Daphnia pulex: one gene and its partners. The protein of the gene in region 3 interacts with the protein of the main gene of each other region in a pairwise test. Links are inferred from orthologs where the notes say so. Each region holds a gene or a part of one and is shown on either strand. Other genes may lie near its edges.

Region 1 (4,223 bases), on a different chromosome or scaffold from region 3:
AATTCTCTACTTTTGATGAGTTTTGCCCGAGTAGGATCTAAAACAAAATGGCGGCCGTCGAAAATCAAATTAATGAAATGATATTTCCAACGAGTCCCAACCCAAAAAAGACGAAAGCATTTTCGTGTTTTTTATTATTATTTTGTTAAAACCATCAACATTGAGGCCTATTTCATTTGAATCTTATCAGAGAGAGAGCCGGCAAGTTTTATATATTCACAGATATATCCTGGACTTTGTGCTAAAAGGGTTGGCGACAGTCGCCTCACACCACCAAACTTTCAAGAAATATCAACCTTTTTGGGTTGGAAATATCTCGGTGTTTGATCTCTACTTAAAATAACCCTCCCTCCCCTGTCCTTTTTTTTTAACCAATTTGAATAGATATACGGCAAAGAAGGTAAAAAAGGAAAAAGGTGGAAATTGGGATGAAAAGTCAAGCCGCTCGCGCGCGCTTTCCAAGATGGCGGCGCCTGGAAGTCAGGAGGCCTCTGGATGGAGGAAGGGGGAGAAAAAATAGAAAATAGAGAAGGACGCCAGTAGATGTAGAAATCTGCCATGTGTTTACCTGTCGGTGTGTCTATATAGCCGGCAGCCATTTTTTTAATTTTTTTTCTCTTTTCTGAAGAAAAAGATAAATTATTCTTTTCTTTCTTATCACATCTAATACCTTTCTCACCTTTTGGTTAGTTCTTTCAGCTGCTGCACAGGTTTTTCCAGGCACACATAGACGAGACGTTCGTGAAAATTAGCGCCGACTTGTGACTTTTTTCACCTTTTTTCTTCTTCTTTTCCCGTTTGAATGTTATTTGGAATCTGGGTGTTATTTTTATTTTATTTTAAGAAAATGTCCAGGCCCTTTTTTTCACCTGTTTGATGACTACAGCAGACGACGATGGCTATCGAACCTTATTCGACTGCTGGTATAGATCGGCACAATAAGTTAAGGGACTCCCAAGTGTCTTATAACTTGGTGTGTTATCTGATGACGCAAGGCTGAGCACACCTTTGCACGTAACAATCGGACACTCTTGAGCAATACGAGTCGATCTGCATAAAGTGAACAGAATTGACTCGGATCAATTTCGATTATTTTTAAAAAATAAAATGCCGAATAGAATAGGAAGAAGAAGAAGGAAAAAGGGGGGGAAATGTACAAGAATGGAAGAAGAAGAAGAAGAAAATAAATAAAAAAAGGCCCCAGGGCAGACTCTTGTAACTACAGGTAGAAATAAAAAATGGGCAAATAAGAAAAGGAGGGAGAGCTACAGGTAGAAAAAAGGTAAGACGAGGCTTCTCTCTCTTTCAGGTGGTGGTGGGGGGGAAATGAGCGACTGGCTTTTTCTCAACTTCAGTCTCGAGTTTGTTGTCCGTGTGTCGAGGACGTCGTCTTACCGACTCTCACATATAAATAACATTTTTTAAATTTTGGTGTTGTGTGTGTCTTCTCACCTGTGTGTGTGTGTGGTTGGATGCCTCAACAGATTGTGTCTATAGTGAACAAGTTCATTTTTTTAGTTTAAAGTGAAGACTAAATAGTGTGGGAGGCTTGGATTAAATTGAAATTCGGTTGGATTATTTAACAGCGGTAGGAGGAAGAGTTAGGAGCCAACAGGTGAGATTTTTTGGTTTGATTTTTCGATGGCGCTAAATTTGAATTTGATCAATGGCTCGACGGACACAATTTAATTTATTAAGATCGGTTGGGATTAGAGAAGCTCAACAGGTGTGATAGACGGGCAGGATCGACCTTGGCCGTCGTCACACAAAAAAATAGATAAAATATGTCCAGCAAACAGATTGATGGGCAGCCGAAAAGGTCGTGTGAAATTCATTTCGTTTGAGCTTTGGGGAGGAAATCAAATGAATTTCAACTGGGCGAGAAAGTCTGTTTGAGCTGGGCTGGAAAAAAAATGTTTACGAGGTAATGATTCTCCTAGCTATCTAGCTAGCTAGGTATTAGGTTAGAGACGGCCATGAAACTAAGCCAAGTGGACGAGAGAGATTCTCCAGTCAGATTCTCTCGCAGTTCAATTTATCTCGGCCCGTCTGAACTGTGATGCGTTTGGTGCCATGGCAGAATTAAACAAGAAGAAGAAACATATATACATTCCTCCTTGTGGTGGAGGGCCGGCCGAGCTGCTGCTGACTCATCTGCGCTTCTGGCTCTTTTCGTGAAGGAGGGCGCGTTCGCCGTGACTTAGCGGGAAAGAAGAAAAAAAATAAAATATTCACCTGCTCAGCTCTCACAGCAGCTCAGTGTGTGTGTTGCCTTTTGGTCCGTCTGTGTACGTAATGACAGCGAAAAAAAGAAAATACTTGGCAACCATCTCATCATATCTTTGCTGGGCAGACGAATAGGCTTTCCAAATTCGGCTGGAAAAATATTTTTTCTCTTTTTTCTCTTTTGAAATTGATTGTCTCTGAGTCAGACGGCCCTGCCCGCGCATTCATGTCACTCTACAAACAACAAAAAATAGAGAGTTGAACGCGTCTGGGAGAAAAATATAAGTTGACTGGGCCGGCCAGCCACCCCTTATAGACGGAATATGTCACTTAATTGGGAGTCCAGACGGACAACTCTCTTATTTTTTTCGTTTGTGGTTGTTGTTTGTTGTCGTTTGATGTGATTGGAAATTCGCCTCACGTCCCGCTCATTTTTCACCGTGGCGACGACGGGCGACGAAGGGCCAGCCATTTTCCCCTATTAGGATTAGATATTTTTTGGTTGGGTCCATCCAGGACGAGACGGGCCATGTTTATATAAATAAAAAGGGACTCGTCTACTACTACTACAAGTCACCCGCTGCTGTCGTAACTACCTGCGACTTAATATCATCATCAAGACGGGCAGCAGCTGGGCCAAAAAAACAAAAAACAAAAATAACATTTTATTTATTTTTATTTTTATTTGACCAGAGGGGGTTGACAGATGGCCCTTTGTCTCTGTCTCGTCCGATTGTTTTCATCTTTTTTATTCCCATTTTTAAAACGGAAATGTCGGAAATATATCTCACACAATGTCCGGCTCTTTTTTAAATAAAATTTCCATCTTCTTAGTATCAAACGGATGGAATAGAATTGCGTTTGGATTGAGACGTGTGTTTAGAGAAATAGCCCAGACTTGATGTAGAGATCAAGTAGAAGAAAAGAAGCTGAACGCTGGCCTGGAATACCAATGACTGGGCGACAAGATAAGACAGGGAAAAAAGCCCAGAGCCACACAAACGGTAGAAGGAGACAATATAAATCGTCGCTCATTTGTTAGACATTACATCAGAGAATGGATAGAAGAGAGAGAGAAGCATCCGTCACCATGTCAACCCGTTGAGAGATTCTTTTGCCCGGCATTTCTTTTAAAACTATCGCCAGCACCTGTCCGTTTTTTGTTTCCCGAATGTCTAAATCGTCGTAGGAATTCGACTGGGAGGGGATTCCAATCATCCGTATAAGGTCCGTCATCCGCTGGCTCACGACGGTACCTCATCAAGAGAGAAACGGACAATGTTTTTCTTTTTCTTGCCCAGCTTCTTATATTTTGTATAGAGTCCGCCGGGATCGTAAACATCACACGTTTCTTTCTTTTGGCTCCTGATGCTGCAGGGCCTCACTCATTGGCCCGTCATATCGTTGGCGGCGGCAATTTAGAGAGACGGCCCTGACGGGCGGCGGCCTCGTATAGCAACAGGAGAGGATCGAGTATCTTTGATGTACAACACACACAAGTCCAGGGGGCTCAATTCACGGCCGCAGCAGCGGTCGTGCAGCCGCCCGATGGAATGTCTCAGCTGCTGCCGGCCCGTCATATAAAAATCTCAACAGCCGGCCAACTCTATATACTATATAAGATAAAATATAAAAGTCCCAGCATAGCCTCATCATCATCATCAGAAAGATGGCCAGGTCTTCCACTCTCTTTTCTTCCCAAATGGCTTCATTTGCATCTGGCCGGCCAAATGTCTTGGCCGTCAGAAAAAAAAAATGAAAAACAGAACAAGTTTAAAAGAAGGTACGACGACCTTGTCGTCATCTTACATTGGAAAATAATGATGATGGCCATTTTCTTCTTATTTTCCCAGCTGCTGGGCAACATGGCGCCTAGCTTCTCTTGTTGTTGGCCCAGCTCACACAACTACTTGGTGTACATGTAATCACTGTGTCCAGCTGTTTTTTTTTCTGCCCCCTCAAAGGAAAAATGTTTCTTCTTTCCAGGAGGAACTTAT
Region 2 (3,651 bases), on a different chromosome or scaffold from region 3:
TATAATTGATTCTCTTAAAAACTACAGAGGAACACGAAGTCAGTTACTCAACTACGGAAGCTCCCACGATGGAGCCTCTTGTAGCCGAGTCTGTCGTACTATCTCCAAGTGGTGAGCAAGTCCGTCCCGAACGGAAATCATCACCAACATCGCCACGGCCGCTAAGTGACGACGAAGGTACGTCTTTCATATCAATCATCTTATTATTTGGTTGTTTCTTCTTCTCGTTGTGGATCGATAGCGGTGGTGGTGGGCAATTTTATTCGTATACTCGTTTTCTCTATTATTATTATTATTTATTTTTTCGTCACTTCCTGTTAGTCGTTCTTATATTTTCCTCTTCTTTCCAATTCAATTCACTGTCGTTTTTGTTTCCCTTGATTATTATTTTTTTTATATATGTTTCTCCTCTTTTTCCGTGTTGGGTTTTCGGGAAAACACACAAATACCTTTCGTTGAGTAGCAAGTCCACGAGTAGTTGAGGTGGCTGTGAAACACGTGCCGCAAGAAGATCACGCACAACGCCAACTTCTCCCGGCAGACGGTTAGTTTGTTTTTTTCTCATTTGTCTTTTTTATTTTTCCTCGTCTTTCTATTCTCTCTATCCTTAGCTGTTGTGGTTCCAAATTTAGTTAGTAATCGAGTCGCAGTCAAGCATGTGTTTTGCATGATGTCATGGCCAGAATTGAGAATGCACATGATGAATGAATGGGTGTGGTGATGACTGCTTCGTGCTGTGTGTCTTTTTGTGTCGCTGCATGTAATCGTGGATGCGAGAAAAAACTAGCCACCCTTTTTATTTTTTTTTGTTTGCTGTTTTGTTGGCTGTTCCGTCTGCCCCGGTAGATACCACAGGGGCCGAGTCGCCTGAGCCTTTTGCCGAGCGCTCGAAATCCGCCCGCCTTCCGCGCGACGGTGAGTGATGAGCCTCTTTCTAACATTATATAACCCTCTTGATTATAAGCCGCCCCTTGCCAGCAGTGCGGCCTATAATTTTATTGAATGATGTATTTTTTTTCAAACTTTATCCTGTAACGTCTCCATTTAATTTCTTTTAAATGCTTGGCATGCTTAGTAATTGTCAAGAAATTCACCGCTTTAAAAAAAAAACCAAACAAAAGAACACAGATCTCAGACTGTACATTGCTTAAGACGTTAAAAAAAAACTAACGTGAATTTCTAGTCGATTTTTAAAGACGTTATAGACCAACATTAAGGCTTATCTGTTCCTTATAGTTGTCGCTTTTTCTGTTGTGTGTTTTTTTTTTATTTCATTGTTTTTTTGTGTGTTGGGCCGTCGTGTGGATTAGGGTCGGGCGATGCTTGGGACATGTTCAAGCGTCGCTCGTGGTCGCTGGGCCGCGACAAGAGGAAACACCAGAATAAAGGTTTGCATTCACACATTACAGTCGTTTCTCATCCCAGTCCCTCCGCTTGTTTGATTATTCATTGTTGTTTGCGGCTTGCTAACTTCCCTTTTAGTTTGTTTGTTTTTTAACTGTGTAGCACTGTAGCTAATAGCTGTTGTTATTTAGTTGAACTAATACCTAAAAACGTTTCTTAAACACTCTCGATGAAGCCTGTAAGACCCGGGTCTCTAGTCAGTCAGTTGTGCCTCGAAATAGGTGAATAACTAACTACCAGATTTAATTGAAGTTTTTCTAACAACCTGGGTGAAGTGATTAAAAAAATAATAACTTTTAAAACGATTTTGAGTGGCAACTCGTGCTAATAACCCACTGACATTGACGATGACACTCGAGGACGTGAATAAACTAATGCGTTTGATTGCAAACAATTTACACAGGCGCTGAAGTGAATGGCGACGAAATAGACAACCCACAGAGCCAGGTGTCGCAGAGTAGCCGCGACGAATCGTCAGCTCGCGACATGTCGACGGAAGATTCTCCCTCCAAATCCAAGGACAAGAAGAAGAAGAAAGGACTTCGAACACCATCCTTCCTCAAGAAGAAAAGCAAGGAGAAGAAGAAGCCAACACCAGAAGCTTGAACAACTACTTCACTTTCGTACGTTTTCAAAAATGAAGTTAGTTCTCGGTCGTGTGAAACTAATCAAAGGCTTTTTCATCTATTTGCAGGCTTTTCAGTGTTCGGAAATAATCTATAAATGAGAAACAAACTCTTTTGGGACTCTTTTGGGGACAGCGCACTGCCACTCGAGTGTCGTCGGGGTTTTTCTCGTTTTTTTTTTTTTTTTTCCTTATTTTTTCTCATCTTAAAGAAAAAAAAAACCATGAATAATCTCTTCTATATACTTCAGCTACTCTCCGGTAGTCCTCTTTGGTTTGCGTCAAGTATCGTAAAAAAAAACTAATCCGCCTTGCTTTAGATTGGAGAAAAAAAAAAAGTGTTTGGTTTTTAGTATCTCTTTCTCCGTTACACTCTTGTGAGACCAGAATCTCTGATTCAAGGATTGTGGACGACGAAAGGCACTTTGCAGAAACTTTTATTTGAAAAAAAAAACAAAACAAAAACACATTAAACTCTTGGCTTCTTTGTACCACCTTTCTTTTCGACCCACTACGCTACCCGGTAGACAATAATTGGAGATTTCGCGCGCTGCAATTGTGTAAAGAACGTAGGGGTCTTTGGGAGATCGACGAAAAAACCTGTTTGTTTGTGTTGGGCTTGGTTGGACATCTTCGGACTGAGACATACAATAGAACCAAAATGGATGAAATGTGGCGTGGGGTTTTCTCGATAAGTGTCGATTTCTCAATCGCAGTGCGAGGTGCTTTTTTCAATTCAAAACCTAAATCCTGTGGATTGACTTGATGTTAATACTTCGTTTTAATTTTCTTCTGCCGTCTTTTTCTTCCCCACCGTTGGCCTCTTCATTTTGTTTCGAGTTAAGATTCGTCAGGTGTGTCTATCCCCCCCCCCCATTATTATTCCTTTTTGTTAATGTAGTACTAATTCATCCGTGTGGGCCACTTACTTTCTTCCTCAATCCCATGAAATTTACTTTCTATATCCCAAATCATGTAGCACACACATCCCCCTGCTATTTTGCTATCTTATTTATATTTTACCTTTCTTAAACCTGGCAATTTTCTTCAAATCCTTTCCATCTATTCCTTTCTTTTTTCGACTTTTTTTTTCTAGATTTGTTAAAAAGCGTTTTCGTTGGTTTGGTATGCTTTTTTTAAACTGTGGAGAAAAGGTAGCTTGAACACACATGCCAGCTTGACCAGCAGCTTAACATTAAAACAAAAAAAACCCTTTGACTACCGATTTTTTTCTTCTGGTATGCAGTTCCGTGTCATTTGAAATCGAACGAAAAGTGTACTATGATGTATCACTATATAACTGTACTGCACGTGGCGTCTGGCCGAAAATTATACCTTAATCTGAATGTCCACAGAACGAGGAATTTATTCAAATTATTTCCAGCTTTACCAATTTTTATTATTGACATTTCTTTTTCAAATAGTGGCCTCAATGAGGGTAAGCATATAAATCATTTGGACATGTTAACTGAGTAAGAGCCTGTGGCTGGATCTTGATTGATTTTGAAATTATCAGTTGACAATCCAAAAGGTTTAAGAAACATATTTCCCAAATCTTTCATTTTTCCTGCACAAAGTATTTTGCACAGGTTAGTAACAAATAAAAAAAAAAGAAGATGTAA
Region 3 (3,550 bases):
CATTTGATAATCGATATACTAGCTTTCGTCGTTCCCGGTGCTGGAGCTGTTGAAATTGCAACTCATAAGGTCTTGGTTGCATACAAGGAGCAAGTCAAGGGTCGCGCCCGTCTTGGTGTTCAAGCATATGCTGATGCCATGCTGGTCATTCCGAAAGTGTTGGCACAAAACGCTGGATTTGACCCTCAAGACTCTATTGTCAAAATGCAACAAGAGTTTGTTGAAGGTGGACCCCTTATTGGTCTTGATCTACAATCGGGCGAGCCGATGATTCCAGCAGATTTAGGAATCTATGATAACTATCGTGTTAAGAAACAGATTCTCCATTCTTGGTAAGTTTCAAAATTATTGTTGATGTTACCAACTTATTTATTTATTTTTATTTTTTTAGCACGGTCATCGCTAGCAATCTGCTTTTGGTAGATGAGATTATGCGTGCTGGTTTGTCCTCATTGAAGTAAATGGCCGTGCCTCAAGGTCCACCGAGTTCCTGAGCAGCAATGGATGACTTTTTTCTAATCAATCTGCTTGAATTCTAATTTCGTTCCGGCTTACCATTTTCGTCCGCTTGAGAAACTAATGTTATTACAATTTGCTAATCACTACTAAAACAGCATTGTTTGATTCCGAAGTTATATTCATTTCAACAAATAAGTCTACAGATCAGTTAACATCAGGTTTTAGCTTAGTTAATGGTTTCATTTAAGAAAAGGTTGCTACTATTTCTTCCATTTTGCAACTTGTGTTCAAAATAAGCAAAAAAACAATTGCAAGGACGAATGAAGGTTTCTCTACATTCATGAGTGATAACGTGTAACCGTCTTTGTCATAGAATTTAACTATGAAATATTTAGCTACACAATATTGAATATTTTTGTAACAGTCAGGATGGGGAATTGGTTACACTATTGATAATACGAGGAGTCAAAATTTGCGATGGGGACGATGATGCTCCTAATTGAGATTTGTTAAAGTGAACTTAGTACGGTTGTCTTCGGCGCGTGGTCCTTTGTTTATCAAAGCGCATTTCCATTTCTTCCAATATTTTTGGTGTGTAACGCACAACTAGTTTCACTGAACCGTGAGCAGCTTTCAGGAGTTCCACAGCTTTCTCGTGATTTTCACCCTCTACCGACTAAAAAAAAAATTAACAGTCAGAGAAAACTTAAATGGAAGAAGTAAGTTTATCAATTTTACCACTCCATTAACAGAGAGCAATTGGTCACCACGCTTTAGACCACCATGTCTGTCTGCAACACCTCCAGGAATGATTCTTGATATGTAAATTGGTGAATTTTGTTCCCTTCCTACAAACATTCATTTGGTAATTATAAAAATTAATTTTCACCATTGCATTCTCAAGGAAAGGATATGCATAAAAATGTATTTATTTTGTTACCTCCCATGACATTGAATCCAAGACCTTCATCAGTTTTGGGGAGTTCTACGACTCGAGGATGGGCATGGCCTTCACTAGCAGCAAAAGCTGCAATTGTAGCTTTGGCTGTGGCAGAAGCTCGGACATCAGGTGATCCTCCCATTTCTACTGTCTCATAAACATGTTCGTAAACTTCTCTGACAGCTCTTAGAAAGTCACTCTGCAGCACCTTGTGAAGAGCAGACAGTTTTGCCGTTGGAACTTCTCCACCTAGTTTTGATTAGAAATTATTATGACCTAGTGCTCTTGATAACTGATATTTTAAAGATTTACTTTTCATCAACTTCTCCAGCAATTCCACAGCTCGGTTTATATCTAGAAGATAAATTTTAAGGGATTAATAAGAGCGTTCCACGACAGCTAGTTGCCTTCAGAAGTAAATGCCGTTTACCTTTGTCGAGAGACAATTGTTCACTTATAGTAGTAGCTGCCATAGTTTATATCAAGAAGTAGAGGTTTGCAATGAGAAAAACTTCAATAAATGTCAAAACTGGGTTAAAAAATGGAAGAATTTTCAGGGCAAAACACACGAACTTTCTGTCAATACATAGGCTCCGCCCTAAAACTGATTTGTCCGGCGATGGATCTGTTCTCCAACGCCCTCTTTAATTACAAAAAGTGTTATATCATAGTTTAAACCTGAAATGTACCGATATATTTTCGAATATTCAACGAGAAATTTTTAATTGTCTAATGTTTAAAAAAAACTGTATTTAAAAATTTCAGGTTAAATAGTAGCTGTATTTGCCGTACCCCGTAATGCTCGGCCAGCCAGAAGCGGTTTCCTCTAGACTAGAAGGTAATCAATAGCATGTGCCATACCCTCTCCAATCCCTCTCCCCGCACCCTTATACCAAGTTCCGCTTACATCTGACTATTCCAAAAGTAGCATCACTTTGTTAGGGTGCTGATGACAGTCCCCCAGATTTATCGAATCGTTTTTCTTTTTCTGCTTTAGCATAAACTTGTTGTCGCTTATTTAACAGTAGAAAACTGATGGAATAGTCAGGCATTGGTACCAGGGTCTTTTGACGTTTCTATTAGGATTTAAACTACTATTGCAATTAAGTATTTTAAAAAATTTCAATGATATACCGATTACGTATTCAGAATGAAAGGATGATACAGAAACATGTCTAAGCACAAGGTCAAAATGAAGAAAACAAATGTGTTTGGGTGTGTCAGTAGGAGTCAGATTGCTAATGTTTTGAAATAGAGTTGTAGTCTGATTTTCATGGAAGTCGATTTAAACTAATCAATTTTTGTCTGATGTGTAGTACTCATCCTCACAAGAGGGGAAGTGGTGGAGGAGGAATTGGCCTAGATTTTTGGTGATGAAATGAGGTCCGAATATCCATTACCCTGTTTCATGTTTTTGAATGTCAAAGTAACGCAACAACTCCAGATTTGCGAATTTTGTTTACGCTTTAATAGGTCAAATGTTGAATTATGACCTAGATGTCTGCCGCATTTGATAGGAGAACACAAGTATCGAAGAGCGGATGAGTGCGTTCGGGACAGAGGACGACGAAAAACAAAACATAAAAAAAAAAGTATTCAGACAAGTTGCCGAGAGATTGATATGGTAATTCACTTGAAAGACGACGGCTGAGTCAACAAATGCTGTGAGCGTCGCGCCGCCCGCTCTTTGGCCGCCCGCCGGGATAGACGAAGAACGCGCCTAGTGCGGACAGGACAGGAGGTACAAATAGCAGTCGGTGTCGATATTAGCTGGCATCGTGTTCTCTTGAACGAGCGAGGTTTAGTCAAGAAAAAGTTACTACACTTAATCTTAACAGTTCTTATCCAGACTATTCATCATCATGAAATCAACCAAAGTTATCACGCTGTTGCTGATTGCATCTTTCGCCATGGTAACGTCAATTACTTTGATTTTTTTCAATTTTCTTAATTTACAGGAATCTCCATATTTCTTTGTGGTTAAAAATAGCAAAAGCTAGGCCCAAGTATATTCATTTCCTTTCGTCATTTGGAATTCAGTCTTGTGTCATTCTGCTTATAAAATGCAACCTATTCTTTGTGTCGTGTCATTTAAAATTTAAAAAATCCTAACCGCATTTATTTCAAAATAGCTGGCTCTGTTTGATATTA

The links.
Region 1: the proteins of protein lin-7 homolog C-like (region 3) and epidermal growth factor receptor-like interact in a two-hybrid assay, tested with the Caenorhabditis elegans proteins (3 studies listed by BioGRID). The link is inferred for Daphnia pulex from reciprocal best matches to the Caenorhabditis elegans genes lin-7 and let-23.
Region 2: the proteins of protein lin-7 homolog C-like (region 3) and protein hu-li tai shao-like interact in a two-hybrid assay, tested with the Caenorhabditis elegans proteins (3 studies listed by BioGRID). The link is inferred for Daphnia pulex from reciprocal best matches to the Caenorhabditis elegans genes lin-7 and add-1.

What each region holds. Positions count from the first base shown.
Region 1 is NC_060021.1:730,379-734,601, reverse strand, and holds the start of epidermal growth factor receptor-like, read left to right. Parts: upstream 1-1,356; 5' UTR 1,357-1,615; intron 1,616-4,223. UniProt on the Caenorhabditis elegans protein: Tyrosine-protein kinase receptor which, upon binding ligand lin-3, activates 2 signaling cascades: the let-60/Ras and MAP kinase signaling pathway and the let-60-independent phospholipase C-mediated Ca(2+) signaling pathway.
Region 2 is NC_060022.1:4,675,352-4,679,002, forward strand, and holds the end of protein hu-li tai shao-like, read left to right. Parts: intron 1-27; coding exon 28-177; intron 178-463; coding exon 464-544; intron 545-846; coding exon 847-915; intron 916-1,310; coding exon 1,311-1,388; intron 1,389-1,807; coding exon 1,808-2,010; 3' UTR 2,011-2,027; intron 2,028-2,098; 3' UTR 2,099-3,386; downstream 3,387-3,651. Other genes in the region: tetratricopeptide repeat protein 1-like, read right to left, coding at 3,481-3,596. UniProt on the Caenorhabditis elegans protein: Membrane-cytoskeleton-associated protein that promotes the assembly of the spectrin-actin network. Plays a role in time-dependent memmory loss and the retention of conditioned behavior over time.
Region 3 is NC_060028.1:9,842,908-9,846,457, reverse strand, and holds protein lin-7 homolog C-like, read right to left. Parts: upstream 2,022-3,550; 5' UTR 1,873-2,021; coding exon 1,830-1,872; intron 1,754-1,829; coding exon 1,712-1,753; intron 1,649-1,711; coding exon 1,400-1,648; intron 1,308-1,399; coding exon 1,198-1,307; intron 1,136-1,197; coding exon 980-1,135; 3' UTR 620-979; downstream 1-619. Other genes in the region: T-complex protein 1 subunit zeta-like, read left to right, coding at 23-332, 392-461.